Drosophila melanogaster: one gene and its partner. The protein of the gene in region 1 interacts with the protein of each later gene in a pairwise test. Each region holds a gene or a part of one and is shown in the gene's direction. Other genes may lie near its edges. The genes, in order: CG17122 and CG18766.

The links.
Region 2: the proteins of CG17122 (region 1) and CG18766 interact in a two-hybrid assay, tested with the Drosophila melanogaster proteins (2 studies listed by BioGRID).

The regions. Positions count from the first base shown.
Region 1 is NT_037436.4:20,267,495-20,283,620, reverse strand, and holds CG17122 (uncharacterized protein), read left to right. Parts: upstream 1-8,285; 5' UTR 8,286-8,366; coding exon 8,367-10,163; 3' UTR 10,164-10,232; downstream 10,233-16,126. Other genes in the region: gogo (golden goal), read left to right, coding at 3,795-3,933, 4,751-5,968, 6,307-6,437, 10,404-10,634, 11,817-12,105, 12,171-12,335, 12,399-12,684, 12,735-13,173 and 1 more; CG32228 (uncharacterized protein), read right to left, coding at 15,060-16,126.
Region 2 is NT_033777.3:27,232,170-27,248,938, reverse strand, and holds CG18766 (uncharacterized protein), read left to right. Parts: upstream 1-3,689; 5' UTR 3,690-3,749; exon of another isoform or gene 3,750-3,922; intron 3,923-4,120; exon of another isoform or gene 4,121-4,293; intron 4,294-4,994; 5' UTR 4,995-5,110; coding exon 5,111-5,116; intron 5,117-5,175; coding exon 5,176-5,492; intron 5,493-5,563; coding exon 5,564-5,686; intron 5,687-5,748; coding exon 5,749-6,229; 3' UTR 6,230-6,604; downstream 6,605-16,769. Other genes in the region: TTLL6B (tubulin tyrosine ligase-like 6B), read left to right, coding at 1-397, 461-571; CG5984 (uncharacterized protein), read left to right, coding at 1,121-1,265, 1,344-1,718, 1,784-2,079; CG17991 (uncharacterized protein), read right to left, coding at 6,723-7,607; PolA2 (DNA polymerase alpha subunit 2), read right to left, coding at 7,836-9,665; CG31068 (uncharacterized protein), read right to left, coding at 12,668-12,715, 12,773-12,879, 12,955-13,024, 13,078-13,442, 13,502-15,167; CG31064 (uncharacterized protein), read left to right, coding at 11,116-11,935, 15,258-15,691, 15,754-16,004, 16,064-16,466.

The DNA.
Region 1 (16,126 bases):
GCGAATGAGGTCCGTTTCAGGTAATTACATGCGGGTGTACCTCTTTTACCTCTGTTTATTTTTAGTTTTTAACCCAATTGCACACCACACAAGGGGGGATGTGGGGGGAAAGGGAATTTCACCAGGTAACCGAGGTTTATACACACATAGCTATATATGTGTGGCGAAATGGAGTTTTAAGTGCAGACTCAGCTCGTTGCGACTGGCCATCCTTGGCCATTGATTAAGAGTAAACAGAGCATGTAAATGTTTGGATATTCAAACTGTGCATTTTTCCTTTGTGGCTGGATTTTTGCGCAGTTTAAGGTTCGCCATTGCAGCAAGCGTGTGTTTTGTGGTGCCACCCAGTCCCAGTATTCCCTGCTCCGTACTCCGCGGAGTTTACGGCGAAGTCACCCCAAAATGTTGTTGGCCGAGTCCGAACGGAATTTTCCTTGCCCACAAAATATAATGAATAACGGCGATACCACGGAGTCCAGGGTGGAAAGGCTGGTGGCCACCCGCGCAGCCGGGGCATTGACATTCTGGCTATCCAGAGGATAGAGAGTAGAGCCCTAAGCACAGGACCTCCCCTAGTCCGTTCCCATTCATCCACACTCTTCCATTTCGATTTTCCCGGACAGCCGTGCAACATAATTCTTCGGCCGCCGTCGCTTTGATTTTCCGCGCTGCGAAAATTTCGCAGTTCTAGGCTGGTCAGTAATGCACTGGGAGAAATATGGTCAGAGTTTTTTTAATACATGAGAGCATTCGTTTGGAACTTAGTTGGACCTAAAACATTTTAATTTATCCGTATTGAAATATAGTTAATTTTTTGAATTATATGATTAACTATATTTTAATTGTGTATGCGTTTTCTTTATCTGAAAAATCATGTTATTTGAATTCTAAAAAAATAACTAGTGCGGGTATGTTTAAATTATAGATATTCGTTATAGTTAACATTCCTAAATACTAAACATGTAATTTATTTATTGACTTTTCGAATTGTTCGAGTGACTCGATAGCGAATTAGCGCTCTCCGCTGGGCGGCAACTGGGTGGCGACTGGTTGGCAGGATAACGGATAACAGCCGTTCAAAGGACCGCACAGTGCAGTTAATAGTTTTCCAATGCCGCCGGGGGCACACACGCACTGCCCTCTGACCTCCGACCTCCGACCTCCGATCGCCCACAGCGACACCGATAATCATGTTGATGGGCCTGCACTATTGAACAAGAAACTTCAGCCGGCTTTGTCAATTGAAAATGGGAAATTCGGGTGGGTGGGTGCTACACAATCGAAAAAAAGAAAACCATTCTGTGGGCTCTCCTCTTTCAATTTGGTGCAAATGTCTGTTTTTCTATTTGGCCCCCTGCACGATTTCCACTACATTTCCCACACTTTCGCAGTGCGCCGGATGACCATAGGATTTGTCCGTAAGTCGGGCTATTTGCACATTTTCCGTGGGGGAAACTCGTCTTCAAAAATCATATGCGACATGTTCTCGTTTTCAGTTCAGGGAAATTCGAATTGAATTTGTATTATAAATGTAAAACATTTTATTTGATGGGAGTAGGAATATATTGAATAATTTAAGACCTGTAACATTGGCGTCTTAAGAAGGAGGTTGTATTTACATTTTAATAATATAACAATATAAATGTGTTAAAACGTACTTATCATTTAAAGGCGAAATGAATGTGAAAATTAAAGAAATTTCATAAATTATTGGTTTATTCACTCAAATGTTACTACCAGCAATTTTCAGCTAAATTGGATAGAAAATCACCCAAGGTTGTGGTATTTAAATGTTTGATTTTAGTATTCTCACATTCGAATTAGTGTCTTAACTAACCTTTCTAAAACAAAGAACAGCTATACAACATTCAAGGCATTCGTTTCCGAAAGACAGTTCAATTTGAAAAGGGAAACACGACATGGGTTTTCCATTTCCATTCACAGCCAACGGTTTCAAATCCATGAAACATCCATGGGAATAATCGGCTATAAAACTGAATGATTCTGGCTGTAAAAGGCGTTCGTCCACAACCAACTGTTGTTGGAAAACTCGAAAGCGGGTAAATGCGAACGGACGCACGTGTGTGCGGCAATTGGCAGGACCAACTCATTAGCGCAAAGGGCGTACAGTGTGCTATATAGCACACATACAGCACACACATATATAGCCGCATATAGCGTATAGCATCTGGTCATCGGGCGATCCGTGCGTGTCCGCAATTAAGGTGCTGAAAAGGACGAAGAGGGTAACATATCCCAGTGACGCGACAGATTTCGCTAATGACCATGGTGGGGGTGAGTGGGTATCCACTGGATGCCTCTTCCTGTTCACTGAATATCCGACACTAGCCCAACCTGAACCACCTTCGGAACTTTTGTTGATGAATCGAAAAACTACGGGAATTAGATGTGCATGTCAGTCGGGAAATTACTGGCTATGCCACCTTATCCTCGCCAGCTGTTAATGTATCGCCGCCTCTGGTCAGGGATCAAAAAGTTGTTAATATTTTATTTGTGGCTGATTATTTAATTACGCGGAATGGTCGCTAGCTACCCACTGGGAGTCATTATGTTCGCCATTAAAATTTGCCCATATATACGTCAATTTGGTTTTATTTTAGGGCATTACTTGAGAATTTACTTGAGAATAGTAATCTTAGATATCAAATAGAAATTACGACAAAGAACAAAATAAATGCTGAAGTATATGGAGTTTGGATTAAACTATTGTTCAAAAAATCGAGTCTACTCGCAATTTATTTAGGTATTGTCTAGTCACTCCGAATCTTGACTTTTCCTTCTTTATGTTTGTTTTATTCCTTTGTCCTGGAGCATAACTTCCAACGAAATCGCATTGAATTGTGGAAATAATCGCCATAAAAATGTTTCGTGCTCGACTAGTAATTGGTTTGGGAATTTATGAGGGTTGATTGTATTTCTTTTTTTTTTTTTTGCTTCCCCCTTTTGAAACATACATACAGGCATAGAACAGGTCATATATGTGGGGTTTTTGGTTGGGGGATGGGGAGTTTTAATGCCACAATAGGGGCCATTGACACCCTTTGTTGGGAGTTTATTTTAAAGCTTTTTTTTTTACTTACGGACAGTTTATTTGTATGGAGCAAGAGTTGAAGCTGTTAAAAATACGGCCCTAAGTCCTATTCAATAATGATTCATAAAAAAGCATAGTCTTTTTGTTCATTTTGTCATTATCAGCGGAATATGAAGGATAATAAATACAACATCAATATCTGAGATAAGTTTTACTTTCTTAACTGCTGTTTAAAAGCACTTGTTAAGTTTTTACTGTAAGACCATCAATATCCCAGAATAAATTATAAAATCAAAATTGAGTAAGGAGAAATGAGATCATCATAATAATTTCGTTAGTGAGTCTATAAATGTGCACCTCAATTTGTCTTGAATTTGATTTGTGTGCCTTTCAGTAAAGTCAACTTTTTTCTTTTTTGCAGAAAATGCCTGGCAGGTAGACTTCTGTCTTTCCTCCACAGAAGGCCAGCAACGTCGCAGCAAAAATTTTCCTCTGGCGATGAAAGCTAAACAAATGACGCTCCTTTCATGAGGGATTGGGCTAGGAGCCATCTGCCGCGCCATCGCCATCGCAATTGGAATCAGAATCAGAATCGCAATTGCAGAATGTGTGCCAGCGACGTGGAACCTTTGGTATCCTTCCACTGAGTGGCAGGCGGAGATTCTTTCTTAGACTGACACCTCTGATTGAATCGGCAAGGGCGGGAGGAAGTAAGGGGAGATCGAAGGGAAAGCCGAAGGAAATGCGGAAAAACTCAAAGGAAATGGCGGCGAATCGGAGGCGCAAGAAGACAATCGGCATGCTGACATCGGGACTGAAATCAGTAGTCAAGTGGAAAATTATTGTCTCATCCATAATGTTGCTCTTATTAAGCGGGACAAGTGAGTGAAACTCATTTACGGCACTACATGTGACTGCCTCTGACACATTCGGCCTGAATAAATACATAAATTCATTTGTACGCCCAACAGGCGTATACGCAATATTTGGATAGCACACAGTAGATACTTTGAAATGGTCAGCAAGGCGTTATCCAAATCATGTTGTTTCACTATACAAGTGCAAGTGCAAACTTTACCAGGGGAGTTTACTAGTTCTGGCATTTTCACCATCTGTCATTTTGAATTCGACAACGAGATGTAAAACCAACTAACAGAAATACCCTTTATGTCCTTGTAAATATATTTAGGAACACAACTATTTCACAAAATGCACAAGAGCTTAAGGATCAATTGCATTAATATTTGAATATTTTTTTGTAATATAATATAATTAAAAAATCTTGCAATATCTAGGATATTAGGTATATATTTTGTATATTCCGTTTAAAATAGAGATCAGTAGAGTTGAGTCTTTATCTATCCACAACAAAAAAAGAGAAAGACATCAAACTTCGTGGCTGTGGATGGAGTTTTCCTTCTATGTTTTTGTTTTGTTTGCATAATTTGTACCCGGGGGAGTTGCTGGATGCGAATGCGACTCAATTTACACGACCTGGGTGGAGTGAACAATGGCCGAGGCTCTTCAATGGGTCCAAACAGAAGGCAGCCACACGAAACAAATTACAAGGATTTATAATTCTTATCTCTCCGCTTTGCTTTTCTCTCTCTCTTGTTTCATGTGGTGACTCCTTGGAAATTGCCGGCATTGTGTACTCCTGCTACTGCAATTTGGATTCGGATGCGGTTTCGACAAAAGGTCACGTGCTGGCGGTGCGAAAGGGTCGTCTGATGTCCCCCAGCACATTCACCGCCCTCAGCGGGGACCTGCATGTGCAGATCCAGTTCAATGGGAACGAGATGTCTTCGCAGGCGGAGGAGGAGCACACCATCGGTGGTGGCCCGTCCAACGAGGAGCCCTTGAGCTCCAGTGACGGGCTGAAGAGCAGGAACAACACCATAATGAGCACTTTAGTCATTAGCAAAATCATTGATGAAGTGGAGTCACCGCTGGAAAAGGGTTTGACTCCGGGCCCCGAGGTAACCAATACCAGCCAGGTGGTGCTGCATCGCAAGCGCAAGGAGGTGGTGCAGAATATACCGCTCTTCCCGGATCCCCGATTCAATGTCACCCAGGTGACGGTGCCATGCCAGACCTTCCTGATCGGAGGACGCTACGAGATGCAGGTGGTGAGCAATCTCAAGTCGGTTAACCGGAGTGAGGTGACCACCACATTGGTGCCCGCGCAGGATGAGCGACTCCACCAGACGCTCGATGTGCGATGGCCCAGTGCCGAGATGATAGTGAGTCCGGTGCGCCTGAAGACCTATCCCAAGCATCCTGTGGAGGTGACCCTCCGCTTTCCCGAGGTCAACTGCAATCAGTCGGGCAGTCTGGCATTGCCGGAATTTTGGTTGGAGCTAATTTACTGCGGCAAGGATCGCAGCTGCAATCGGAATATAACCCCAACTAGTGTCCTTTTTGCGGAGCAAATACGCGGATTCCCCAAAAACAAGAGCCTCCATCTGGGATGCGAACTATTTGGACTAGCGGGAAACTATGCAGTCCAACTGAGACCGATGATTCCCGCCCAGAACGTGCCCACCACCCGGCGGCTACTGAGCGTCGATTGGAGCGACGAATTCGTGTTCAACGTGTATGCCCGCAGCATATTTCCCTGTGATCCGCACACGGGAATCGGTGTCCTGTACGAGTATCCTGGCTGCATTCTCGAGCAGGGCGACCGGGTGCGTCTTTATGCTAGGCTGCGGGCCGATGTCGCCTCCCTGAAGCCACCCACGTCGCTCCACTATGTCTCCGAGCAGCGGGTCGTCAAGAGCCAGCATTCCCTGTACTTTGCCTGCGAGCACTTCTCCGAGAAGTACGTAGAGTACTGCTTCGTCTACGTCAGCCAGGCAATTTCCGGAGCCGTAGCCGATGTCCGGATGGACTGTGTGCCCACCCTGCCCGTCAGCGGTGAGTGGTCGATGGTGCATTAACGCCGTTTTTAACTCCATTAAAAGGAAAATCCCAATTAAGCTGGAGTTCAAATAGTTCTTAACACATTATTGCGTGTGCTCGCTACACTGAAAAAAATACCCTTTTAATTACTATTTCGCATTAATTTTTAAAAAAGCATAACTTCAAATTTTTTCACATTATTTAAATTTTAATCAAGCCCTAAAGCATTACAAAGGCATTTTTGAAATACATAACCCTCAAATAGTTTCATTTTCCCGCCCCATTATATTATATATTTAAGCACGCTGTATAAGTTTTGAAGTGATTAGCTCATGACACCACTCTTTCCGCAGACTCGGATACCGGTGGCTGGGGACCTTGGAGCGAGTGGACGCCCTGCTCCACAAATTGCTTGGGAGGAACGCGCAATCGCTACCGCTTCTGTGACTCACCACCCCCGCGATATGGGGCCAAATTCTGTGAGGTATGTAAGCCCAAATAACTCGCCAGATTAACCTCTGAACGACCTCTGCCTCCCCACCTGATTTGACAACGTTAACAGCCAAAGTTTGATTGAGTGCTCCCAGAAATGATTAATACTTTGGCGCATCTGAGCCATCAAGACGATTTCAATAAGTGCGGAACTACAACTAAAGACAGGCGAACTTCGCCCGACTCTGGGGACTTCGTTACCCAAGAGATTGCTTCCAGCTTAGTTCACACATTACACTCGACTTTCCTACACTGAGCGAATTCTAAACACTTTATATTAACTAAAAACTCTCAGCTTAGAACATATAAATGAGGGCATAGCCAAACTCAGCTAAAACTCAAATACAAGCTCAAACATTTTCATTAGTGACGAAACAAATACATTTTTTTATATTCCCAAAAGTAAAACGGATAAAATCTTGAAATTGAAAGGCAACTGAGTAATTCCTTGCAGTGTAGCCCGCCGGGGCAAAGTGGAACTATTTCATTGTTTTTGTTTGTGGGCCATGCCGTGGAGTGGACTGGCAGCCGGAGTGGGTGGCTTCGGCACGGTATGTTATGTTGTCTGCAAGCGTGTTTCCACACTGCGACACTTGCTCCAGATTGCGTGGGGAATTTACGACGCTTCCGACAATTGTCGGCCTACTGCGCCACGCTTTATCTTGTTTCTTTTGTTGAAGCGAGTGGAAGAATGAACCTCCGCCTCCGTCACTATCTGTTCCCGCACTGCCACCATCCACGTCCTCATCCGCGCATTTCATTATCCAAAAACTTCCGGCATCAGGATCCAGCGATAGGGGCACATTTGCCCGTACTTTGCCAACTTGTTCGGAACAATTACAGGCAAAGTTTTTAAATGCTCCGCACACTTATTGCAAGTAGTTCTTACACGGGAGTCGCGGACGCCACGGATGCTGGAACAATGGATTCGCCGTGAGGCGACTACAATTGCGTGGGCGGCTGTGTCCATGGGCCGGCTGCTGGAGGAGCACCCGGTCGGTGGGTGCCACACCCACACCCACTTGCCTCGACAATTTGCATTTGCCCCCAAAAGAAACGCCCGGAGGCGTTGCCGCCCATGTGCGTGTACAAATATTGCCCCACGGGCTATTAATCAAACAAAGCTCCCACACGGCAGGCACTATTTGCTTTTAGAAAACACGGGGAATAACCTTTTGTGACCACAGAAGCACCACAAACTCAAATTAGTGGCTTTCTAGTGGCGCTTTAAGCATTTTAAGGCAGTAAAATGTTTACCATATTCATGATTTAGGCAGAAAAACACATTTAAATTAAATTTAAATAGAATTTAACCAAAATTGTTAGTCATTCTGGGGAGAAAAATTTATAAAATGGAGCTTAAAGTTATATATCTATTTGTAAGGGGATAGCTAAAATACCTCTGAAAAAAAACTGATATTTTTAATGGTTTTTATAGAATATATTTGTCCAGTTTGGTTTATTTAAGGTAATGCTGTGGTTGAACTAAAAAATGATTCTTGTTCGCTGAGTTTCACTCTTTTCCCAAAAAAGCCACATCTGTAATGATATTCAGGTTCGCTTCCGAAAACAATTGGAAATAATAGTACATGTGTATACATATAACAAATGGATTCACTTTAAACTCTTTAGGTCCTTGGAAAATGCTTTACTAAATTAATAGTCGAGTTCCTTCCAGAAAATAAAGCTTTATGGTCAAACAGTAAAGGATATGGGTTCAGCTTTGAAAAGCTTTAATTTCCTTGACAACGGTTCATCAACTAGTTGTTATAACAGAGCTCATTTTAATTAAACAAAGAACGATGGGTGTGCAAATTCATACTTATAAACAATGTCACTGGCGTTTTGTAATTCTTAAAATATCAAACACTCGTCAAAATTCGTAGACAGTCAATTCTGATAACGAACAGCAGCCTCAAAAATGCCGCCGAAAGTGAAGAAGGAGAAGAAGGATGTGAACAAGGTGACCCAGGTGGACAGAACCTTCTACGAGCTGACCATCACGGATCTCAACCAGAAACTAGCTCGACTGCGATCCCACGTGACCACCGTCGATGAGTCCAACATCACGCTGACCGAGAAACTCAAGGAAGTGGAGGCCGATGGCGTCGACGTGGCCGCTCACTTGGAACGCACCCTGGCGGAGAGGAATAACTCGATCACCGAACTGGAGGAGCGCCTGGTAGAGATCACCAAGGTGCGGGATGTGGAGAACCGCGTGGCACAGGAGAAGATCGGCGACTTGGAGTCGAAATACAAGGCCATGCACGACCAGTTGACCTCCGAAATAAAGCTGCTTAATGGCAAGCTGAATTCCCTCGACGAGTTCCGCATCCAGAGGGATGTCCTGTTGGCCAAGTTCGATGAGCAGGAGGCGGATCTCAATGAGCGCGAGAAGGATCACAAGGAGGCGCTCTATAATATGGAACAACGAGCTGTGGTGGAGAAGGATGCGCTAAAAAAGGAGGTCGAACAGAAGCTGCTGCAAGTTTCCGAGGACTTCACCCGGTCCAGTGAGATCCGCAACGCTGGCTACACCCGCCGCCTGATTCGTGAGAACATAGCCCTGCAAAAGGAGATCGATCTACTGGTCATGTCCCAGATAAAACTGCAGCAGGCATATACCAACCAGAAGTCCAAGCACAAGGAGATGGAGGAGCAGTACAGTGCCCTCGATCAAATCAAAAACGAGCTGGTCCGCAACTCCGTGAACAAGATCAAAATCATTGAGGGTCTGACCAGGAACTACGAGAAACTGAAAGCCAAGTACGTGGAGGTACTGCGCTACAAGAAGGCCTATGAATCCCTTCTCCAAGCTGAAAAGTGCGAGAATGTCAAGCAAAAGGATGCGGCCGGAAAACTCCGGACCCTGGCCAAGCGAATGGAGATTTTGGATCTGGACAATCGAAATCTGGAGGTGGTCCATGCCCAGCACGAGATCGAGATTACTCGACTGCGTGGAGTCATTCAAGAGATCAAGTGCACTGTGCGGGATGCGATTGTGGCGGAGCAGGCAGCCAAGAAATTCCCGGAGAGATTAGTCGAGGCCAATGTGGATGATCCCGCAATGATAAATGAAGTTCGGGAGGAGGCCATATCCCTTTGCAAGCTGAAACGCAGCGATTTGCTCTCCCAGCTTATGAGCATCGTGAGCTCCCATTCGGAGGAGCTTCCGAAGACTCCATCGATTGCCTCCATTGTCAGTGCCACCTCATCGCTGTATGCTCCAGGTAAAATGGGCTTCATGCCCACGAGACCCAAAGCAACGCCATTCGACGCCTTCCGCAGCGAGGTCATCGAACAGGAGCCGGATCGCACCGTTCCGGAGGATCTGCAAAAGCAGAAGATGCAGGATCGGCTAATGACCTCGTTGCGAGGTGACGAGAATACCATAATCGATGTGGAATTCGGCACTACTCTATACGTTTCATCATCGCGCGAGGACGATCTCATTGAGGTGGAGGAGGAGCCACTGGAGGAGCCAGAGGGTTCCACCAGCTCCATGTCTGTGAAGAAGGCCAGCAGTGAGGGTTCAGTGGCTCCGCCCGAAACCGTACCGCTAGCCGTTTCCGCATCCTCGAAGGACATCAAGGGTGCTCCCAGCATTGGGGCTCTGGACACACTGACGGCCACATCCAAAATGACGGGTGTTACCAACGAGGACGAGGGCGAGGAGGAAGGCGAGGAGGAGGACTTCGATGTGCAGTTCGTCTACTAGAGGGATATGAAAATTGAGTTTACTTGTAGTTCCAATTTTGTTGAGTCTTGAATAAATATGTGCAAAGTCAAAAACGTGTTATTCTTTCGTTTAAATTCTTTAAATGTTTCATTAACATAGAAAGACTTCATGATAATTTCCATAGCTCATACACCTCTGCAGTTCGATTCGTCACTACTTTCTTTTCTTTTGAGCGCTTTTTTAAACTCTTAATAATATAATTTACATATGTATTTACAGGGTCCTTCGGTTGAGACCCAAAAGTGTGGCAAAAGCATCGCCGACACGTGGGACTGCATTTACGAGACTTCGGGTACAGTCATCACCAAGGAAAATAGCACCGAGGTGAGCCAGGAAATTGGACCAGGATGTCGTTGCGGCTGCATTGTACATCTGGGCTCTTCGAAGCCCAAAAGGATCATTGCTGGAGCCACACAGAGCTGTCCTGGCCGCTCATTCTGGCTAATACAGGTACAGACTATTAACCAATTCCATAACAACCTCTCAACTTACCAAAAAAATATAAAAAAAAAAATAGTAGAAAATAGGGAAAGTTAAGTGACGCTGCCCTTTGGCATTTGGTCAAGTTTTGAAAGCTTTCAAGTTGTCTGCCGCCATAACTATAAAAACGAACAATGCCAAACACTCAGATGTCCAAGTCCATGAATAAAATTCCGCTACGCTTCGCAGGCTGCCCCAAAATGACAAAGAAGCCCCCACTCAATGCTCCATGCCACAGGGCAGTGGTGCTCCGATCTGGACGCACATCGCTGGCCAAAGGGGGCTGAACTCAATTCATGCATAATAAATGCCCCACTTGGTAGGCGTTTTGGCCAGTCCCCAAACTATCAATGCGTAAGGGGTCCAATGGGGGTGAGCTGAACTTAATGTACTCGGTATTCTCGGTAGGAAGGGGTATGCTCAACGCTATCTTGGGAAAAGAACATCCATTGTCTTTTAGTAGGTTAAAAATTGCATGGAAATAAATTGTTGGAAAAAAGGCAAGAAAAGTGAAAGAAAAAAATTAACAAACAATTATTGGATACAAGCAGATTTATTGCTGGAAAAAATAATATTGAAGAGATTTTTAGAATAGAAAGAATCTCGGGTAGAAAAATGATTATTGACTCCGAGCTATACTATCGAATACTAGGAAACAAAGTAGATAGGAGGATATAAATAAATATTATAATGAAGAGGAAATAAATACCATATATATATTCGTATATAAATATACGAATAGAAAAAATTAAAAATTTAACTTTAAAAAATTATGAATGTATTGCAAATGTTTTTACATTTTGCTTGATACAACACCCTCTTGACATTCCACCAGATGTTGGGACCCATAAAGAGGCCTGAAGTCCAGTATATATATATATATTCAATGGGTATCAGATGAAAGGACTATCGACTTTTCCATCCATACACACTTTGACTCAGGCCCTTTTTTGTTCGATACAATTGGAATGATTAGACCTGCCAATTGACACGTTCGAGGGATGAGGGGAATGTGCCAATGGGCAGGAGGCTTAATGGTGATGAATGCCTGACCCACTTCGGCAGCATCCGCTTGCCCCATGCCCGGGAATGTGGGGAAACCCCAAGCCAATTGCCCGTATGTTCACGAACACAAAATTCCTTTTCTCGCAGGTGGATGGTGAGGAAAGCATTTCACTGGCACTGAGTTTCCTCCGCTTGCCTTGTGCCACCCAGTACATAAAGGTGCGCGATGGACCGTCGCTTTCGTCCACCCTTCTCGTGGAACTCAATGGCGGTGGACTGATCCTCAAGGGAGCCGGCGTTCCGGTGGTCGTCGATTCCACTGGTGGCCAACTCCTGGTGGAGTTCTCTGCCGGCGATGGACCGGCGGGCAATGCCACTCAGGAGGCAAGTCCAGCCTGCACCGGGGGATTCATGGCCAATGTGCAGCAGCGGTTGGGTGAGTAAAACTTCGATAAATATTCAACGAATTTAATAATTTAATTTAATTTAAATGTTCAACAGCTACAAGGAGCAGTAACAGTAGTATCACACTTGTGGCCGCCACTCGTTTGTCTGGAAAAACTCGCTCTGTTGTCCACAAGTCCATGTCAAGACTTCGATTTACCCTGGTTCATCTGAGTGCCATGATCTTTGCCAGCATAATCATCATAATTAGTTCCCTTTTAGGTGGGCTCTTGAAATATAAGTATAGATTTTATAGATGGTAATCACCACTTCTATCGCTTCTAGGTGCCCAATATGTGGTGCGATATCGGAAGTATCACCTGGCAGTGGCTCGGCGACAGGACGAAGGATCCAGACTTCACACTCCCAGAGCATCGCTGAGTTCCCTGCAAGGTCCTCCCTCACGGGCCATGTCCACAACAACTCTGCTTTCGGAGGTCATTTACATGGTGAAGATGCGGCCCAAACACCACTTGCGACACTCCATTCTCCGCGAGAGCGTGGACGCCGAAAATCTGACCAAAGAAACGGAGTTCAAGGAGTCGGATTCCCAGGGAATGCTGGCGAAATGGTAAGGCTAAAAGAGAGGTGGAAAAATAAAGCTAACTAAACTCGTTGCAGCGCGGAAATTAAGGAGCTGGGAAGCTCGGCCTCCATGGTGACTCTGCGCAACGAGAGATCGTCACCAGCGCGATCTCTGGATACTGGAAGTATCATTGGATCACCTTCCTCTGCGGAAGCCGAACTGGCTGCGGTTCACAGCAGGTCAGAGTCCAAGGATTCCCCCTCGGATGAGCCAATAGAGCCGCCGAGCTGCAAGGACAGCGCCAGGGACTCGGAGTCCATCATATCCTCAGGAATGAGTTCCCTGTGCAACAGTCCACCGATGAACAGCAAGCGACTGAGCAAGTACTCTGATCGCTACGATGCGGTGACCCTGAAGTTACTCTCCTCCAGATTGGATGAGAGCCTGCAGGATGCCAGCTCCCTACTATCGGTGACCGAATCCTTCAGATTGGGTCGCCTGAGAACCCGTAGTGTCAGCTCTTCCCTGACGAATGTGAGTTACGAGGTTACACTGGAATTTCTTCAGCTAAAAATTAATAAAATTAGAAGAGCTCACTAATAGTTAACTGTTTCAGGGTTGCTATTCACCAGCTGCCAGTGTGGTTAGCACGGCGACCATCAGGACGACCAGTAATCCCAAGGAGTCCAAGGAGAAGCAGAATCGAAGGAAACTCCTGGCCCGACCAGGCTCAGAATTTTCGCTTGGAAATCAAGAAGAACTTGAAATGGATTACTACGATTACAATGTGATCAATGCAGGATCGGCACCGGGCTCCTATCTTGGAATGGATCCGGCTTACCTTATCTGGATACCACCATTCGAAGAGGTGGCGGAGCGGGAAGAGGACGACAAGACTCCAGAACCGGAACCAGATCCCGAGAGGGATGAACGGCAGCCGCTGTACGAGGAGATCCGGATGCCCAAGTACGGACACTACCTAAGTCCAGCCAGTAACACGGAGTCCAGCAAGTCCACAACGGCTGACAACACACCCAGCTCCGAGGAGAGATCCCCGCCAGATAGTGGGCGTCCCTCAAAGGCCACCTCACCCTGCGATGGAACCGAAAGGGGTGGAAGATCCATGCCCAAGCAACCCACTCCCTTCATGTCCAGAAAACAGAGACGCCAGTCCAAACAGCAGATGCAATCCAGTTTGTCCTTGAGCGCTGGTTCGCTGGATCATGAGCAGCGACGCAGCAGTAAAGTTCCAATCGAAATTGCTGCAGTGCATCAGAAGGTGGAAACCGAACTGGAACCCAACGACTCCATGACTGGCTCTTATGTGGAGAAGGAAACTGCCGTGGAGAAATCATCGGGGGATCTGCAGGAGTTTCTGTCTCTCGATGATATTCAGTTCGCCGACGAGAGTGGCAGTGACTACGAGGCTGTAAACCTCAAGAAAGTACCCAAATCGGAGCTCCAACTAAGCCAGGATGATGCTCGATCCAAAATCTTGCGAAGAAAGGAGCCGAAGTCAAAGGAAGTGGCCGTGTAACACCAAGATATAATTGTACATAAAACCAGCACAAGAATAGCAGTATATGTTTAGTATAGTTTATAATACGATCTTGTAAAATACGGGTAAATATAATATATACATATATCAGCACCATACGAAACGTAGACCACCTGGAGTAGTAGTTGTGTTTTTAAAGCTAGGATTAAAGATCGTCTCAATAATATGTAAACTTGAAAATCGAAAAGAATATAGAATGTAGTCTCCACAGCTCTTCTTTAAGCCTAATCTGTTCAATCTCTCGTTACACTGTACATATATAAGTTAGCTAAGGCTCACTGTAGTTTAAGTATTTATTCGCACTCGGCTATGTACACAAACCAGTTTATATTGATTTAATTAATGGATTTTATTTGGCAATTACTTGAATTTATAATTAGAGAATTGGAATTATGAAATTTTGTGATCTTCATTTTGTGCTTGTAAGCATTGGAAAAATTCTAGTCAATACATTAGTCAAAATTAATTAGCATTTAAAATCAAAAATGTTTTTGTTTCTAACAGTTTTAAAGCCTTTCTATATCACCCCGACCTGTAAGATAAGAAAATAAATAATAATGAATGGAATAAGATGTTTTTGTTTTTTATTTTATTTTTTTTTTTTGAGTGGGGTGTCTATTGTTAAATGTCAGCTATAGTAATGCAGCGCAAGTTCATTTTGACAAAAGATGCATTTATTATTTAATTGGCTTTATAAGCATGCGGATCTGTCAACAACGATTGCACTTTCTTGCCAAATTCGCATGAAATATAGAGAAATGCATCAAATGACTCATTGTTTTTTTTTTTTTGGAAACATATATTAGAACTACTCTTCCTGGGAAAATAAATAGATATACAATTTTGGATATGAGTAATATGATTAAGTTTCACTAGGAAAAGTAATTAAATTACTTTTCTTAGGGAAACTAGACATACTACTCGCAGTGCCGAAAATATTTATCCTACTTTCCAGAGTGTAAAGTTCTTTTTTGCTGAGATCATGCATGTTGATGGCTTTAGTTTTATTCTTGGGATCCTTGGGCAGGATGTTAAAAGATTTAATATGGGGCTCTTCTATTTTTGCTCTGTATGTCAATAGTTCCCGACGCCTTTTCTCTTTTCTCATCTGCTCCATGAAAGGTGCTTCCTTTGCTCCGTGATTGCCTCTAATAGTTCGGCATATAATGCAGGCACTTTTTTTCCGAACAGGCTTTTCATTTTTAATCTTACGAGTATCATCTGGAGGTCTTAAAATGGGCTTCGAATTTTCCTTAATTGCTTCAGATACCTTTGGCTGATTCACCTTTGTGACGGTCGTCTTATTTTCATATATTTCTGTATACGGATACATCAGCAAATCGCTATCGGGTATTCCTTCGATGTCGATTGAGGACGTATCTGTATTATCGATCATGCTGTGACGGTTAAGAAATTGCTTTACCTTGAACAATCTCTGCTGGTACATTTGCGACGTCGTATCAAGATTGATTTTTCGAATCTTCGAGTTTAACCTTTCCAGAAGGCTTTTGCGTTCCAAGGTCCTTCGATCCGCTGAGTAGATACTGCCGCTTCTATAGGAGGTCTCGTCCTCATTATCATCTGAGTGCTCTTCGTAAGGATAAACTGGTAACGCTTCTATTTCGGTTTCAATAGAATTTGTTGGCGTTGGCGGTGCGGAGTTATGCCGAAAAAACCTTGATTTATCCTTTATTTGAGACACATTAGTAGTCGTTTTAGTTTTCCTTTTTAACTTAGCAGTGTTCTCTTCAAAAATATCCTTCGGCTTCTGTTTCTGACTGGAAATTTGTGAAGAGCTAGATGATGATCTTCTTACCAATATTTCGCTATGTTCGTCCGGATTTCCGATACTTCTGGATTCATTTATAACATTTAGAATTCTATTAATGGGATACATTTTTCTTGGCTTGGAAACTATTTCTTCTTTTA
Region 2 (16,769 bases), on another chromosome or scaffold:
GAGTCATTTGGGCAATTTCAGGAAGATAATGCCGCCACCAGACTTGAGCAAGCTGGACTACTACACTCGCTTCTATGCCCAGTCGCACCAGGTGTCCATCTTTGCGGAGACGGCGGCCAGTAAAAAGCGAGAGGATCTCGCGCGCAAGATGCGCATCCAGCTCGAGGAGAAGAAGGCCAAGCAGCAGCAGATGCTGAACGGGAAGGCCAAGCGGGATGCTAGGAAACGACACACCGTATTGCTGCCGCGGGCTGTGCGCGAGAAGAACCGTATTAACTTCTTCCGGCTGAGGGAGAACTGGTCGCCGGGCTTCATATCGGACGCGGAGGAGCGACTGCGCCACACCTGGCTGCACATGCGGGCGGAGGCGATACGAACGCTCAAGATCACCGAGAATGTAAGTCGGTTCACTTCCAAAAAAAAAGATACATTTATATTTAAAGGAGATATTCGTCCACAGATCTACAGCAATCTCTACGAAACTGGACTCCTGACCAACACGGACATGGTCGTCTATCCGCATCTCTATCACAACTTGCAGCACGGCTACGACATCAAACGTACTCCATAGTCAGTCATTTCGCCCAACTCCAGCCACACAGACTACTTACACACATCCACGATGTGTTATTCAAATTCGTTATTTAAATTTAAATTGCTGCTCGTCACAAAAAATGTAATAAAATTCTTTCGAATCTTTAAAATAAATATTTGTTTAAATATTCAGCGATTAACACATTTTATGGAATTTTTAGTTGGTATACCTTTAATTTAAGATTCACATTAAAATTTACTCGATTCATAACAATTTGGATACTCTCCTGCTTGGATTGGAATCGCATCTGGCGGACTTGCATCTATATCGTGTATATTTGGCTGGCTGCCCGGCACACAAGCATCGTAAACATTTGCCCCAATCGGATGGCGAGAGCTCCGCCATCGCGGAGATCGAGAATCTGGCATTCCGAGAGCAGTTCGCCGATTCCATTGAGATGGAGAGCAGCGAGTTCAGTCGGTCGAAGGAGCACGCCCCGGGCAGTCGCCAATTAAATTGGGGGAAACTATTTGGAATCTTTTAAAAAAATCGATTGATATTCGAATTGGAGAAAATATCAGCGGCATGTTCAAAGTGTCACAGGAGATGCGTCTGAACACGCAGGCCGCCTCCTCCGCCTCCGCCTGCAGTTCGAGTGGGAGTGGCCTGGAGGGCAATAGTCCGGAGGAGGGCGGTATTTTTGGACGCTACCAGCGAACGCCCGATGCGGGTGAGTAGCGTCGATGAGGAAGTAAACATCGAACCGGCTATTTATACACTACGAATCTCGCGCCCCCCAACTCTTTAGATGCCTATCCCTCGGAATCGCCGCGCGTCTATGTGGCACCCGAGCTGACCGACGCCGGCAAGGTGCAGCTGCTCCACTTTCCCAGCGGCGCGGTGCGAGTGAACAGCCCGCTGGGATTCATCATCAAGCGGAACGGGGTCAAGGGAAACTTCGAGGTGCGCGTCGAAGGTCCCAGTGGTCAGCCCATTCAGCCCGTTCGGCAACAGCAGTTGGATCCGGAGCGCTTTCAGATCGATTGCCAGCTGGACGCCGGAGCGGGTCTCTACAAGGTGCACATCAAGTGCAATTCCGTGACCCTGCCTCGCTCTCCTTTCATCATCGTGGCCATCGCAGGAGCTACCGAGTCCATCGATGGCAAGCCCGCCAGTTCTTCAGGTAGGATATGTCAAAAAAAAGTGCACGAAAGCTGTGATAATCAATTGGCATCTTGTGTGCTTTAGTGCCCATCTCGGACTCGGATGCCAGCCGAGTACAGAGCCGTGGCCTGGGCCTCACCCATGTCAGCTTGGTGGAGCGCAACGAGTTCACCGTGGACTGCGGCCAGGCGGGTAGCAACATGCTCCTGGTGGGCGTACTGGGGCAACGCGGTCCCTGCGAGGAGGTGGTGGTCAGGCACCTGGGACGCGGCATACACAGGGTCACCTACCGCGTGTGCGATCCCGGTGACTACATCCTGGTGGTCAAGTGGGGGGAGCAGCATGTACCCGGATCCCCGTTCAGCTTAAGTGCGGATTAGCCGTAGAAAGTAAATGTGCCTGCATAAATCAGCTGACCTTGATGGGGCGCTACTGCCACCCATCTGCCTCACTTCTCAATGGAATCCTGCGCAGCTTCTCCGGGCGATTTCGCCCCACCTAATGATGATTGCCGATGATAGCGTTATGGGTGCTCCTTGCTGCTCTTTTCCCGCCACTAATGACGTTCGCATTTGGGAGCTGATGCTCTCGGCGCCTCACAACCTAATGATGATGACCGGCGAATATGGAGAATGTGGGTAAGCTGAGTATGAGGGGGCAAATATGTAGTAGTAATGCGTACACTTGAGGTTAGTGCAATAGTCACAAGTTTGGAAAATAGTGAAATATACTTAAGTAAAAGTAATAATACATTTTAAACACTAGCATGCATTTACCATTAAAAATATATTTTAGCTAATGATTCATTAAAATAAATTCACTAAAATAACAGTTATATAAGAGAGGTGCCATCTTAAAATTATATTAAAAATGTTGCACAATAAATTAAGATAAGTATTGTACTATACATATAATAGTTTAATATGATTTGATTTTAAGGGTAACTATTAAGCTGACCATTATTGTTTATAGAAATGATAAAAGGTGGGGGCTGCACGATGATGTTGTAGCTATTAAAATGTCAAGTTCTTGAAGATGATGACATATTCATTTTGTATTCCTAAACAATCTGTACTTAGTAACAAAAGAAAAAGATACATATTTGCAATATAGAAATTTGTAAACACTGAAGAACATAATTGTTTATAATAATATATTTAGGGAGAATGAAAATAGATTGATATTCAACTAAAACCTATTTGAAAGTAAAAATATGTGTCAATAACTAGAAATTTACGTAATATATTTTTCAAAATACAAATAAACAACATTAGTTTGTATGTCTATTATTAATTATCTCAAAGTTTACTATTTATATAGTTGGCTAGGTTCGTAGATTTTTGAATATTTGGTGACCTTGTTATTGGGATTTCGCTTCCCCCAATTTCTTCTTCCTCTGCCTTGCCCCACCCCCATCGCCTATCGCCCCGCCCCGCCAGCACTTTTTCATCGAGACGATGTGCAATTTAATGATGATTACCCCACAAGCAAAGCCAACTGACGACGACTTTGTGGCAGCAGCGACATTATCATTTTTTGTTATTTAGCCCGCTAATGACGTTTGCTTTTGTTGTTGTTGTTGTTGCTCCATCGCACAACCTAATGATGATGATGATGACCGGCACATACGTGTCGGTGTGACTGTGCCAGTGTGTGTGTGCATTATGCTCCAAGAAAAGCGATTTGTTGAAGGGAGGCGGGAGTAGGTGGTGGTGATGATGATGATGAGCGATGAAATGCGCTTGCTTTGTTGCGCCCTAACGAGCCGAGATTGAAGTAAAAGTACTGTATTGAGCACGATAAATGGCAGATGACTTGGTTCTATTGGCCTAAAGCCGCAATAAACATTTTCAATTTCCCACCTTTTGGCGCTGTTCGAAACCCCAACGCACTGCACTGGCGACTGTCTGGCAACGCCATGTCACACTAGCCGCACCGCTCACACCATGTTGCTCTTGCCATGCCATGCTGTCTCGCTCACGCCGAGAACATCATTATAGAGTCGAATTGCGAGAGCTGCGCAGCGTAGGAGCTACAAACTACGTTTTTCGTGTGTTTCCCTCTTGAAGATAATTAAAATTTAATTATTTGACTTATTATTAAGTTTTGTGCCCACGCTGTTGGCGTCGTAGTGTTGTTGTTTCGCCCGTTGTTGCATGGAGCAAAGCGAAAAACGTAACAATAGAACGCAATCAACGCAAGAAAATCGGATGTGGATGCGATGTGAGTGTGTGTATCTCTGAAATGGGAAAAGTGTGTGCGTGTGTGTATTCGAGAAAAGTAACCTCTCACCCCCCGCGAACTTACATATATGTACATTGGCTCCAATGCTGCTATCCCGCAGCCGCCGTCGCCGTCGACGTCGGCGGAGCATCTTCATCCGCATCTGAGCCCAACTCCCTTCTACACTTGAGTTACCGCTTCACTTCGATTCCAAACGTCGCCGCATCCACTTCTCATCTTCTGCTGCTGCCGCAGCTGCTGCATGCATATCGCAACTTGTTTCGCTCGCACAATTAATATTTGTTTACCGTTTACCGTTCGATTTGCATTGCATGCGTGTGTGTTTGTGCGGGAGCGGCTGAGCTGCGTCGGTGTGTGTGAGCCGGCTTAATGATAATTGAAAGCTAGAAAATAGACAAAGTACACCGACTAGTAAATACCCTTTAGTGCCAGAAAATGGGTTGTTAGCCAATGGGATTACGGTACAAACAACACGGAAGCGACAATAACCCATTTTAAAATCATTGGATGCCAAATTTAAAACAGTTCCTATAACATTTTGTTTCCTGTGATAAGAATTGTTAAAAATACTTGCGTTTTAAAAGTTTAAGCTGAAATTAATTAGTGAATATAAATAGAACTTCAAATTGTGCATAATTATATCGTATAGTAATTAATACCCATGACAACTAGGGAATGAGTCCTTCTAGGAGCTTAAAAATACATAAATATTTCTATGAATCCAAACTCTGCTGCAATATAATAGAATTTTATGTGTATTACAACATTATACCCTTTAATTGCCGCGAGAACTAAGTTAACTATGAAATGCAATCATTCGTAACCCTTTTTGTGGGAAGGTATTAGGCTACAAAAGATTAATTACCATTTCAATTCAATTAAATAGTCATCAAATAGGTGGCTGACCATATGTTCGGTTGTTTATTTACGTGTGGTGTGCACTTTTTAAGAAATCCCTGAAACTCATAGGGATTGCAATATTAATACGTCTAACAATACAAATAGTAAACAACGACACCTGCACGTTAACTAATCATTTGATTTATTTCAGGAGCGAATCCGTGTACAGTATGCCAGCCCACTAGATAAACCGCTTCATGTCCTCCATCAGCTGGCAGACGAAGATTGTCGGGCAATCCCATTTGTCGGCAGTAAGACCCATGTGAAATGCCTGTAAGTTGTCTTTGGAATCAGTAGCTTTATCATCAATATAATCGTATACCTATTCGCAGTATGAAAAATTCAACAAAAAGCGCCGACAATGGGAGGATAGTGGTGTTCTAGAGCTGATCAAACTATGGAAAGTCTGCGCCTATGAGCTGCGCACCATTAAACGCAATGGCCATCTGTATGTGGCAATGGCCAAGCAGCTAACCTCGCTGGGCGTCCCTGTTACCGCACTCGAGGTTCACTTTAAAGTCAACAATCTAACGCAGCGCTACCGGCAGGAGCAGAAGACCTTTGAGACCACAGGCATCATCAGCACCTGGAAGTTCTACAGTCAAGTGGATGATGTGTTTAAGAGTCTGGCCGCACACACCGGTTACAAGTTGGTTGAGATATGATAGATACTTCCCATATAGCAATCCCAAACTAACAAAATATCTTATTATTTTCCAGAGACAAACGCATGACAAGTGCGTCCAATACGAGCAGCTTACCATCCACATCCGAGTCACCAGTTTGGAAGAATCCAATGTCTCAGCAAGAGTTTAATAGTAACAACACGGAGGGGTTCTATAAGTAAGCACTAGCATTGGAACACCTTCCTCACAACATGTTTAAATAACAATTGGGATTTGCAGGACCGAGTACGGGATGCATCGGCACTTTATGGACCACTCCCAGCCACCACCCAATGCCGGCAGCGTGGACAACTTCATGGCCTCATCGGCGGCCGTGGCGGCGGTGGCTGCCGCTGCCTCAGCCCGCCTGGCGGATAACAACATGGATCAGCAAATGAACACGGCTGCCGGTGGAAGCGGTGGCAGTGGTGGTGGTGGGGGCAACACCAATGGAGGCGTGGCCAACTACCAGAAGATCAAGAAGTCGCACGAGGACTACGACAAGTTCGTGGACATTGTGAAGAACATCGTGGACACGCACAAGAGCACTCCCGATAAGGTGGACACGTTCGGCGACTTCATCAAATCGTACATGAAGCGCTGGCCGGAGCGGCTGCAGGACGAGGCCATCAACCACATCACCAACTATGTGATCGTGAAGAACATGGAGCACAGCATGGTCAGCAGCCACAATCCCGAGGGGGTGAACAACCGACAATAACAATACAAGCAGGAGCCCAACAACTGAACGAGTTGTTGGACGACGCAGCTCCAGGAACCAGGCACAGAAGCCGAACGAAGTGAGACGTTAGGCGAGGATTACTTAAGGTGGCGCGCAGTTACTTAACCGCATCTGAGTTGCGGCCAAGTTCATTGGACACACACACGGCATACAGTATTTTTTGTATAGTTAAAATATACATTGGAGTTTTAGTTCTCGACGATCGCGCCCTCGATACAGAGTTGACTTCCGTAAAGAGGGGGCTGGATCGATCAATCGTGCATAGAGATCCTAGGGAGTACATTACATTTAGACACCATTTCCTACTGTTAGCTGTAAACTATTATGCATAAATTAATAAATGCTTTAACGATTATTTATGATTGGTAGTAAGAATGCACTATTGACACGTAGTCTTAGGAAAATTGTACACTTTACAATTTAAATAGATATTCAAATTACTTCTTGCTTCTCTTGCAGATCTTGAGTTTACCTAGTGTCCGTCTGCCTCCGCTAGGTTTTCCTTCGTGTAATCCAAAACACGACGCTTCATACGACAGATGTATTGGCTATGCATGAGGTACATTTTGAGGAATCCCTTGATCGCTATGAAAGTCAATCCCCCAAGAAGAGTTTGTTGCAATCTATCGTCGACAGAGCTGTAAAGAACTCTACCCACGTACATGGATATGGTGGGCAAGAGGATGGCTCCACAGACCACCCGCGATGCTGAATATTCGGTCATTGGCGCAGAAGGGTATGGTTCGGTCTGGTGGTCATATTTCCGTCCTAGGCACATCATTGAAAGACTTCGCAGCAATGAATAACATATTCTAATGAAGCGCAACAGGGCATCTTCCCAGGGAATTAAGCGTCCAAGTATCAGAACTACCGAGATTAATGGGAATCCGACCAGAACAACCAACAGGTCTCCCGATTGAATTATTTGATGAACGTGACCTTCCTGACCAGTGATCTGCAAATATGTTTTTGCTCCGAATGAAACCGCTGACCAATAGGCAAAGACCACCGTGAAGACATTGGCCAGGCAATTATATAAGTTTGTTAGGATAAGATCGTTGGTCAGCTCCAAAGCCCTATCGAAAATCCAGAGATTCGGGTATGCAATGGTGTACTCCGTTTGGCATTGTGGACAGGAAACGGCTTGCAGATTGTTGTTTATTCGGGTCTTCTCGTCGATCCAGAGGGAAATGCAGCTCTGGTGCACCCACTTATTGGTTCCTCGGCAGAGACATGGATTCACCCAAGCCTGGCGACCTGCCTCCTTATCGGTCTCAAAACAGATCCAGCAACAGCGCTCCAGTTCCGTCGAATCTCCTCCAGCTGAAGCTTGTGGCGCAGCAACGTTGCTAGCCATTATTGATCTTGTTGTATATAAAACTTGAGTCTGAGAAAACTCCAGGGCATATGTTTACAAATAATACAATACCTACTTTGGCCCAAAATAACTAATGCTAGTTGTTTGTTGTTGAATGTATTTTGTGAAAAGTTATGACAAAGTAGTGTGTTCATTATATTAACTAATAATATTGTACTGATCTATTTCCCACTATCCTTTCCTTATCATCATCACAAAGTGGTCAGGTTAGATGCGTTGGACTTGACACGCCACACTGTTGAACATGTTGGCCGCCTTTCCCGGCACCGAAGGCGCCACCAGGAATCGGGCGAAAGTTCCACCCTTCTTGTCCGCGACACGGCCGGGATTGATCACCAGGCAGTCGTTGACCAAGCGGATGAAATGCCGCTGATCGCTGGGCAAGATGAGCACATTTGGTAGCTGTTTGAGCTGTGCATATTTCAACGCCAGCTGGGAATCGTAGGCCATGTCTTCGTCCGCCGGCGGATACAAAGGATAGAAGGAGCCCTGGTGGAACAAGTGGTTGATGGCCCTGTGCATCCGCTCGCCGGCATTCACAGCAAACTCGTGACTCAACAGGTGGTCCACCACGTCGGTTGAGGTAACGCCCAGCGTAAAGCCATCCAAGTCCACCAGAGATGGATCGGGCAGCATGTATAGATTTGGATAGGTTCTGCGCAGAGCGGGCGGCGGCGTTGGATATACGGAAAGAGCCATGGCATCCTTCTGACTGGTCACCACCAGCACTGCTGTGTGACTACCAATCGACTCCATTATTCCCCCAATCATCTTCTCGAAGAATGTATCGAAGGTCTCGGCCAGTTCGCCGACCATCTTGTGATCGGCATCCAGGAATGGTCCCGTGAGCACCAGCACGTCAGGTCTGTGATCCTTGAGGTACTTGAGCAGGTCGTGCAGCGGTTCGTAGAAGAGATCCGTACTGTCCGTAAAGGGTCCGGAGGCCACCACAAACTGAAGCTCCCTGTCTATTTGCAGTGGCGTTGCTGGCGTCAGTTTGCGCTCTGTGTGTATCTCCTCTACCATGAAGGTTTTGCCCCTGGGTATGAACCCTTTGGCGAGCACCACTTGACCTGGGAATATGCTGGCAGACTTGACCCTGGAGAAGTTGAGCGTGAGCGTTGGGTCCATTTCATCTTCTACATCGTCATCTAAAACGGCCATAAATGCGGAGTGGGCGTCCAGTGGGCCATCGTCCTCGGAATGAATCATTCCCACCGCGTGGAGTCCACCTGCGGACTGCAATACCTGCCTATCCTGCGGATACCAAATGCACTCGGCTGCGCCTGCTTGTCCAAGTTTCTTGTCCACTAGTGCCGGACCGGTTTGGTTGAAGCGGACGCGCAGGTTGTGACATCGGTCGGTCAGCAGGTCGTTCATGTAGCCCAAATTTGCGATGGTCAGCGGGGCGTCGTTGTGCAGCAGTTTTTGAGTCACCGGAACCGTGTGCTCCATTTGTGACTGCCAGCTGGAGCCAGCCAGGAGTTTGGGATGTCCGAAGGTGTCAACTATATCGCCCGGCTTGCCGGCCACTGAGTTGGATGGTGTTTCTAAACCTGCTTTCCTCTTTGCCGATTGGGGTGTATAGCTGGCGGGGCTAAAGAGTGCGGCGCCCTTGAGATTGGCGGTCCGATCCGACTGCTTCTTGGCCTTGGGCGTGTGCAGAGCGGAGGAGTCCACTGCCGATTCGCTGACATAGTCATCCAGCATGGGATCGTCCTCCATGACGCCATAGGTGGCCAGTGAGCTCGTATCCTGTACAGAGGGCGAACCATATGATTTCGCCTTCTGGCCAGTTGCCTTGTATCCCGCCTTGTCCTTCCGCAGCTGCAACACCTTGCGCTCAAAGTCGCCCAGATTCTCGATCGCAGGATCCTCGCCTTGGAGGTGCGACAAACTGAAGGCCATCCACTGCTCCACGAACTCGGTGGCGTCGTGGATGTTGTAGGTAATGGCCAGCTCCGCACACCTGCCCAGAACTGCGTCCGCTGGCTCCACGCCCATCTCGTCGAACTGCTGCTTCAATTCCTCCTCCATTCGTTGTCCTTTCGTTGGGCGTTTAATTTTCGTAAATAAACCTAGCAATTTATTTTGGCGGTAAAAGTGGGCACAGTGTTGCCACCCTATGATGCTTTTAACACCTGCTTGAGTTTTCTTATCGATAAGCATAGTCAGTTCAATAACATAACAGCTCCCATCGAGCTGCGATAACCGTGATCTGTAACCAGTGATTGTTATCGCCCATCCCCAATCGCAGTGCAACAGCTGTTTTAATTTTGTATTGACAAACTTTTTTGTTTACCCGCGTTCAAGCGCAAAACAAGCGAAATTAGCGGCTGTAATCGCGTCATTTTGATTCATGTGACTCCGCACAGTGTCCTGATAATCGCCGCGAAGCAAGTGATTCGCCATGAGCACGGACGATCTGCTGGTGCGCCGCGAAAGGAGTGAAGACTCCCAATCCTCGAGTGTCTCCATTCCGGTTACGCCCACCACCGGAGGTGCCGCGCCTGCGCCCAGCGCCCCCACGTCATCGCTGGACCGCCTGCGGAACACCTTCCGGCGCACGGAGAGCATCTCCTCGCAGATCTTCAGCCACATATCCACACAGTTCTCGAATGCGGCCGCAGCAGCCGCCTCTTCCGAGGTAATCGATGGCACCACCACGTACCCGTATCCCGACGAGCCCGCACCACCTGTTGTACCTGTTGCGCCGGACACGGTGGCGAGCGCCAGTGCTTCATCCCCGTCGCCATCGAAACTGAAAGCAAAGCGACTGAAACGCGGTGAGTCCGAATTATTATTCATTCGATGATAAGCAGCAATGGAAACCAAATTTCCATTGTGCGCTAATAATAATATGTTAAGTAATAATGTTGCATATATAAAATATATTATATATAATATATATAAATATATACACATATATATTTAATATAACAATTTAGGTACTCAAAACTATTCTAAAATGTATTTATTAATTAGTATTAGCAATTTCGTGGGCTGTGCGAAACTGTCGTTGAAATATTTCGGTACTTGTATAAATAATATGATTAAAAATAACTTAAAAGTGCATTGGGAAAGTGTCAAAGGTGATTTGCGCACCACACACAGCGTGACCATCGAGAACACCCCCAACGAAAGCTCGCGAGGAGCTTGCGAGCTTGGCGCACTGGACAAATCAATAGGATAAAGAACTTTTTGCCAGTCTTACTCAACGCGTACACAACAGGATAACGGTGCAAAATCAAAGCGGCGAGAACTTTCGGTTATTTTGTTAATTTCAGAAGTAAAACCCTCTGGAAAAGAGGTTTACAAAAGGAAAAAACCCCTCTAAGGTAATGAAAAAACAGTTGAGGGAAAGCGGCAGCAAAGGAAACTCGGAACTTATTGAACAGCTAATATCGATATATGTATATATCTGTATTTTTATGGACGCCCACGCACACACACACACTACTCAGGCGTACTTTGAAGCAGCAGCGAAATGCGTGGACTTGTCGAGGATACAAAAAGGACCAAGTTGTCGTCGGCGAACAACAACAACCTCAGCAGCACCAGCGGCAGCGGTCGCATCAAGTCGAGCAGCCTTGCAACAGGATCAAGTGCCAGCGGCAGCAGCTCGAAGCCCTTGAGAAGTGCAGTGAAAACGCCAACATCGGGCAGCGCGACGTCATTGTCGTCAGGAACAATGGCTGCCAAGAAGGCGCCTCAAACGGGGCAACAACAAGTAGGCAAGTCTGCAAAGTCCGCCACGGCAGCAACTCCAACTGGCACAACAGCAACAGCAATTGGAGCAACGGCAACAACAAGGGCGCAAGCAGCAGCGGCGAAGAGCCAAAAGGGTCAGAATCCACCCTCACAACAAGTGCAGCCGAAACAGCAGCCGCCACAACCGCAACAGACACAGCAGCAACCCCTGGTGTTGCAGCAACAACAGGCGAGCAACAGCAGCAATACGATTGCCTTGCCAAAGGCATCGCATGCCAACACCAGCGAGGAGCTAGCCGGCGGTGTCCAGGACACCATTTACCTGTGCAATTTCCGGGTATCCGTCGATGGCGAGTGGCTGTGCCTCAAGGAGCTGCAGGACATTGATGTGGCCGGCGGAACGGGCAACCAGGCAGCTCAGACCAGTGAGAAACTGGCAGGCGGCAGTAGTTCCCAAACGGGCGGCTTCGGGTCCAACTACAATGTGGGCTCCAGCTCCAGCAAGCGCAACAGCAAACGCTTCTCCGGACTGTCCACCGGCAGTGGAAGTGGCGGCAACGCCGGTGGAGGAGGCGGCTTGGACATCACCGACAATGGTATTATGGCAATTGAAAACCTTATCGGCCGCCGGCTGTGCGACATGGTCAATAGTGGCTCCTCGGCACTCGGCCAGTCCCAGTCGCACTCCCAGTCGCAGCACCAGAGTGTTGGCCTCTTCGCCGAGTGGTCGCATCTCTGTAGGTCGCTTCTTGTTGCCTCTGTTGCCAAGCACGCTCCTACTTTGTAGTTTCTCTTCATTTCTCGTTAGATTGCAAGGGCCATACAAATCCGAAGAACTCGAAGAGTCAAGTCATCATATTCTATAGGCTTCAGACTTTTCTACGTTATTAGTTTTCTTAAAATATTGTTTTTTATTAACATTTTTATCTTTCTTCGTAAGATATTGGCATTTGTTTATTGTGTAGACATTAGCTTTTATAGAAGACGACAGATTCTTATCAAGCACGAAAGTCTTTAAAATGTGTGAATGGCTAGATCTATGTTCTCGATTTTATTGGCCCTTGTAATCTTCCATCTTGTTGCATGCCTCTTTGCATTGTTGCACATTTAGTTGCTTGCTCTTAGTTAAAAGTTAAGTGATTTACCTAGGAAATACCCTAAGGATTAGGATTTCAATTAGGCAGTTAAAACTCCCATTTTAAAACTTCATTTTCCTTTCAATGGAGAAATGGAAAAGTTAAAAATCATAGGGTTTATTAACTTATCAAAAAATATACACTTAAGAAATAGGAAGGTTAAAAAACGAAAAAGGGTTAAAAAATTGCCAACTAGTTATCGTCAAAAGTCGTTTCCCAGCTGGGAGAGTCCTTTAAATACTGAAAAACCGTCAAGATCATTATTTTGGCATATAACATTTTGCACATCCCACTCACCTCTGCACCGCCCTTCTGTCGACCGGCAGGGACATCTGGTTTCTCCTGCGACTTCTTCCTGTGCAGAAGAGGATCATCGGATGTATCCTTGTACATTTCCGGTGTTGCTTTTAAGATGGCAGCATCAGAGGATTAAGTGAATGAATCGATTAGGCTTAAGAAATGACCAGTCATGCACTTACCTATCCTCACTTGTTTGGACAATCGCCTTTCTGGTGATGGCTGCTTTTTGTCTTCTGAGGATTTGGTCTGCTGGTGACTCTGAGTTCAGGATATCAAAAGCACGCGAAGCACTGATAACTTACCTCTTTCTTACGACCCGTCTCAAAGTCCTTATGCTTCTTCCGCCTGTCTTCTTCGCGGGCATGCCTATGTCGATGTCTATCCTCTCTGCTGTCCACTTCGCTGTCCGACGAGGGAATGACGGATAGGGTCGACTTTAGAGCGGGCTTACAAACGTCCCTGTAGGGAACTCGGCTAGGAGACGAATCATCGGAAAGAAGTTTGAGGGATGTGACCTGCTTTCCCACCGCATCTCGGCTCTTGTCCGGTGCGTAGTAGTCCCCTCCTTTCGCTCGGGAGAACTTCAGTGGCATGCACTTCCTGTTGAACTGACATCCCAGCGACGAAGATGAGGTGAAGGAATCTAGCTCGGGATTATTCGCATATCCTATAAACTCGAGCAGTTAGATTTAGTTGATTTAGTTGCCACAAACTTATTTGACTTACGATTGCTCGGCACCGATCTTTGTGAGGTGGAGCGACCAGAACCGGAGTAGTAGTACCGCCGAGTAGCATCACTTTCGTCCTTTTCATCTTTTTTTTCTTTTTCCTTCTCTGGTTCTTTGGCTTTCAGCGGCTCCTTTTCTTTTCTTGGCCTCTCTTTCGGCGGAGGAGCCTCTGCATCCGTTGGGGCAACCCTCTTCTTCCTGCCCCTTCGCATGCAACAGCAAATGATGAGCAGAATGAGGAGCAGAAGCAGGGTCAGAAAGGCGGCAATGCACCAGATCAGTGTCTCATCGTTGTCGCACTCGCGGCACTCTTCCACTTCCTCCGGCCGACTCTGAACCTTATCCAATCCGGTAAGCCATTCGTCCTGGTGCATTGGCTCCGGCCCCGACTCCTCGACTGGCCCTGAAGCCTCCTGCCAGTGAATAGCGGAGCGACTCATCTTGCGGGAGTCCTCTTTGGGACAGGATGGTGATCCCTGCCCGTCATTCTTATTGGTTGGCGCCCGGGCCTCCTCCTCCGCATTCTTCGCTTCTTTCGACAGCCTCTCCTGAATCTGCAGAATACCGCCCAGACCCGGGTAGAATACATCATCGCCATAGTGCATTTCCAGATTTTCCTTTATCCAGGCGAGCAACTGGCGATTGTAATTAGCCTGGCTAATGCCCTGAAACCGATGACAGTTGGTTAGGGTTTGGAAGAACTTCACCACGACAAATTCCGATTTGGGAGAACGCAGATTGTAGATGCGTCGCTTTCGAAAGGGCAAGTATATGTTGCCCATATAGCCATTCTCATCGAGCGTCTCCAGTCGAGGCAGGCTCACAATCATGCTCCCTTGATCCGGCTCTTGGGAAATGCATGTTTGATCCAGTTGAGCACAGCTGGAGGCATCCTCCTGGGAATAGCAGCTCTTGGGCAGCTTGACGGGTTCGATCTTTCGTACCTTGAACTGCGACAATATATCCTTGTCCGGAGCTCGCCACCCATTTCCGTTCGTATTGAGCGTCGTTTTGCACTGCTGATAAATGTTCACCAAGCGCTCCACGGTGTTCAGCTTGATGCGTCCGGCATAGAAGGATAACTGGGCCATGGGCACCAGATAGTAGCGCAGATAGCCACCCAGGGCATCGTAGAATGCTCTCTGCATGATGAGCCGCGTATCATCGTCTGACATTCGCTTCACGATCTGGTTAACAGTATTAAAGTACCGGAGAAGCATGTAGACAAGGCTGTCGGTGAGAAGGGATTGTGGAAAGGATTTCGGCACCAGCAGCTCGAAGTCTTTGCGTGCAGATATGATAGCAATGTCCTCCGTGGAAAAGCAATTCTTGCGGTAGTTGCCAAACAGATTGGTGCCCAGGAATGAGTCCGATTCTGTGGTACTCCTTGTCGCCTTTTGCAGCTCGTTGGGCAGATCCTTAAACCATTCATGCTCTTGGTATCTGCGCGGCGGGGAATAGGGAGGATTGGTCACCTGTTCATCGACCGTCTCGATCAGGCCATTGCGGTAATCCCGCAGCTCCGAGCTGAGCATGGATTGCAGGGTCAGTTCGTTTTGGAAATCGTTTGTGGGCACCTCCAAAGTAGCCAGGTCGATGCTGTATATGGGACAACCCCCGGGTGCCAGAAAGAAAAGCAGCCAGGAGAGCACATGAAGTTTCATTACTCAGTTAATCAGTTGTCAGTTGTTTTGAAGCAAATTTCTGCGCCGGCCGAGTCTTTAATCTGGGAACCACCGTTCCTCCATTTGCAGCCCGGGACACGGCGGAAATTGAGCGCAGTAATCTGGTGAATATCTGCAAGCTGGTGGTCAAGGAGCTGTTGGAGCAGTCGCTGCGTTATGGTCGCATGCTGGACTCGGATCACCTGCCGTTGCAGCATTTCTTCATCGTCATCGAGCATGTCCTGGGGCATGGATTGCGCCCGAAGAAGGGTCTGCTGGGACCGAGGAAGGAATTGTGGGATCTGCTGCAGAGCGTCGAGCATTACTGCCCGGAGGCGCAGGACATTACGGCGAGTGTAAGGGATCTGCCCACCGTTCGTACCCACATTGGCCGCGCTCGAGCCTGGCTGAGGATCGCTTTGATGCAAAAGAAGCTATCGGATTACCTGCAGGCACTCATCGAGCACCGGGAGGATTCACTCTTCGACTACTATGAGCCACATGCTCTGATGATGAGCGATGAGGTTAGGCTGCGCGCAATCTTCTCAAGGAATCCCTTTAACCCATCCATCTCTTCCTGCTTCAGATCGTTGTGATAATGGGCATTTTGGTGGGCTTAAACGTGATCGATTGCAATCTGTGCGTCAAGGAGGAGGATCTGGACTCACAGCAGGGCGTCATCGACTTCTCGTTGTACCTGCGTTCAAGCTCGAGAAACGCCGATGCGGCTCCAGAAGACAGTGCTCCGCCTGCTCTGCTGGATGCCACTGGGCAGGGCAACATGATTGCGGTGCTGGACCAGAAGAACTACATTGAGGAGCTCAACAGGCATCTAAAGTGGGTTTCGGCTGTTGTTATGAAGTGCCTCCCCAGCTAAGTTATTCCTCATTTTTCAGCGCCACTGTGGGCAATCTGCAGGCCAAAGTAGAGTCCTTAACGACCACAAATGCCCTGATGAAAGAGGATTTGGCAATCGCTCGGAATAGCTTGTTGGCCTTGCAGGCCGAGAACCAGGCCATGCGACAGTCCACGTCGGCAGGGGACAACAATTCAACTGGTTCGGGTGGTTCATCCGACAAGGACAAGGAGAAGGCGTCCGAAGAGCTGGTTGAGGAGCGTCGCAAGAACAGCGAGCTGGAGAAGGAGCTCAAATTGCAGGTGTCCCTCAAGGCGGAATCGGACATGGCCATGAAACTGCTGGAGAAGGATATTCACGAAAAGCAGGACACGATAGTCTCACTGCGCCGCCAGCTGGACGATATCAAGCAGATCAACCTGGAGATGTACCGAAAGCTGCAGGTGAGTAGTCATCATCAGGGTGGGTCTATTTTGGTTGGAGTCTGGGTAATCTGCATTTGATTTCCTGGGCGGACAAACAAAATGACTCATTCTCATTACACTCATTACACTGCTCACAACTCATCTATCCACATTCATTCGCTCATCTGGTTCGTAGCTCTGGTATCATTTCACTTTGTGTTTTAAGCTTTGGTTTATAGTTTAGTCATTTGCTCCAAGTAAATCGGTTTAAGCCTTCAAGTCAAAAAGTAATCCCGTCTAAAATTTAACCAGGAATGTGAAGATGAACTCACACAGAAGGGC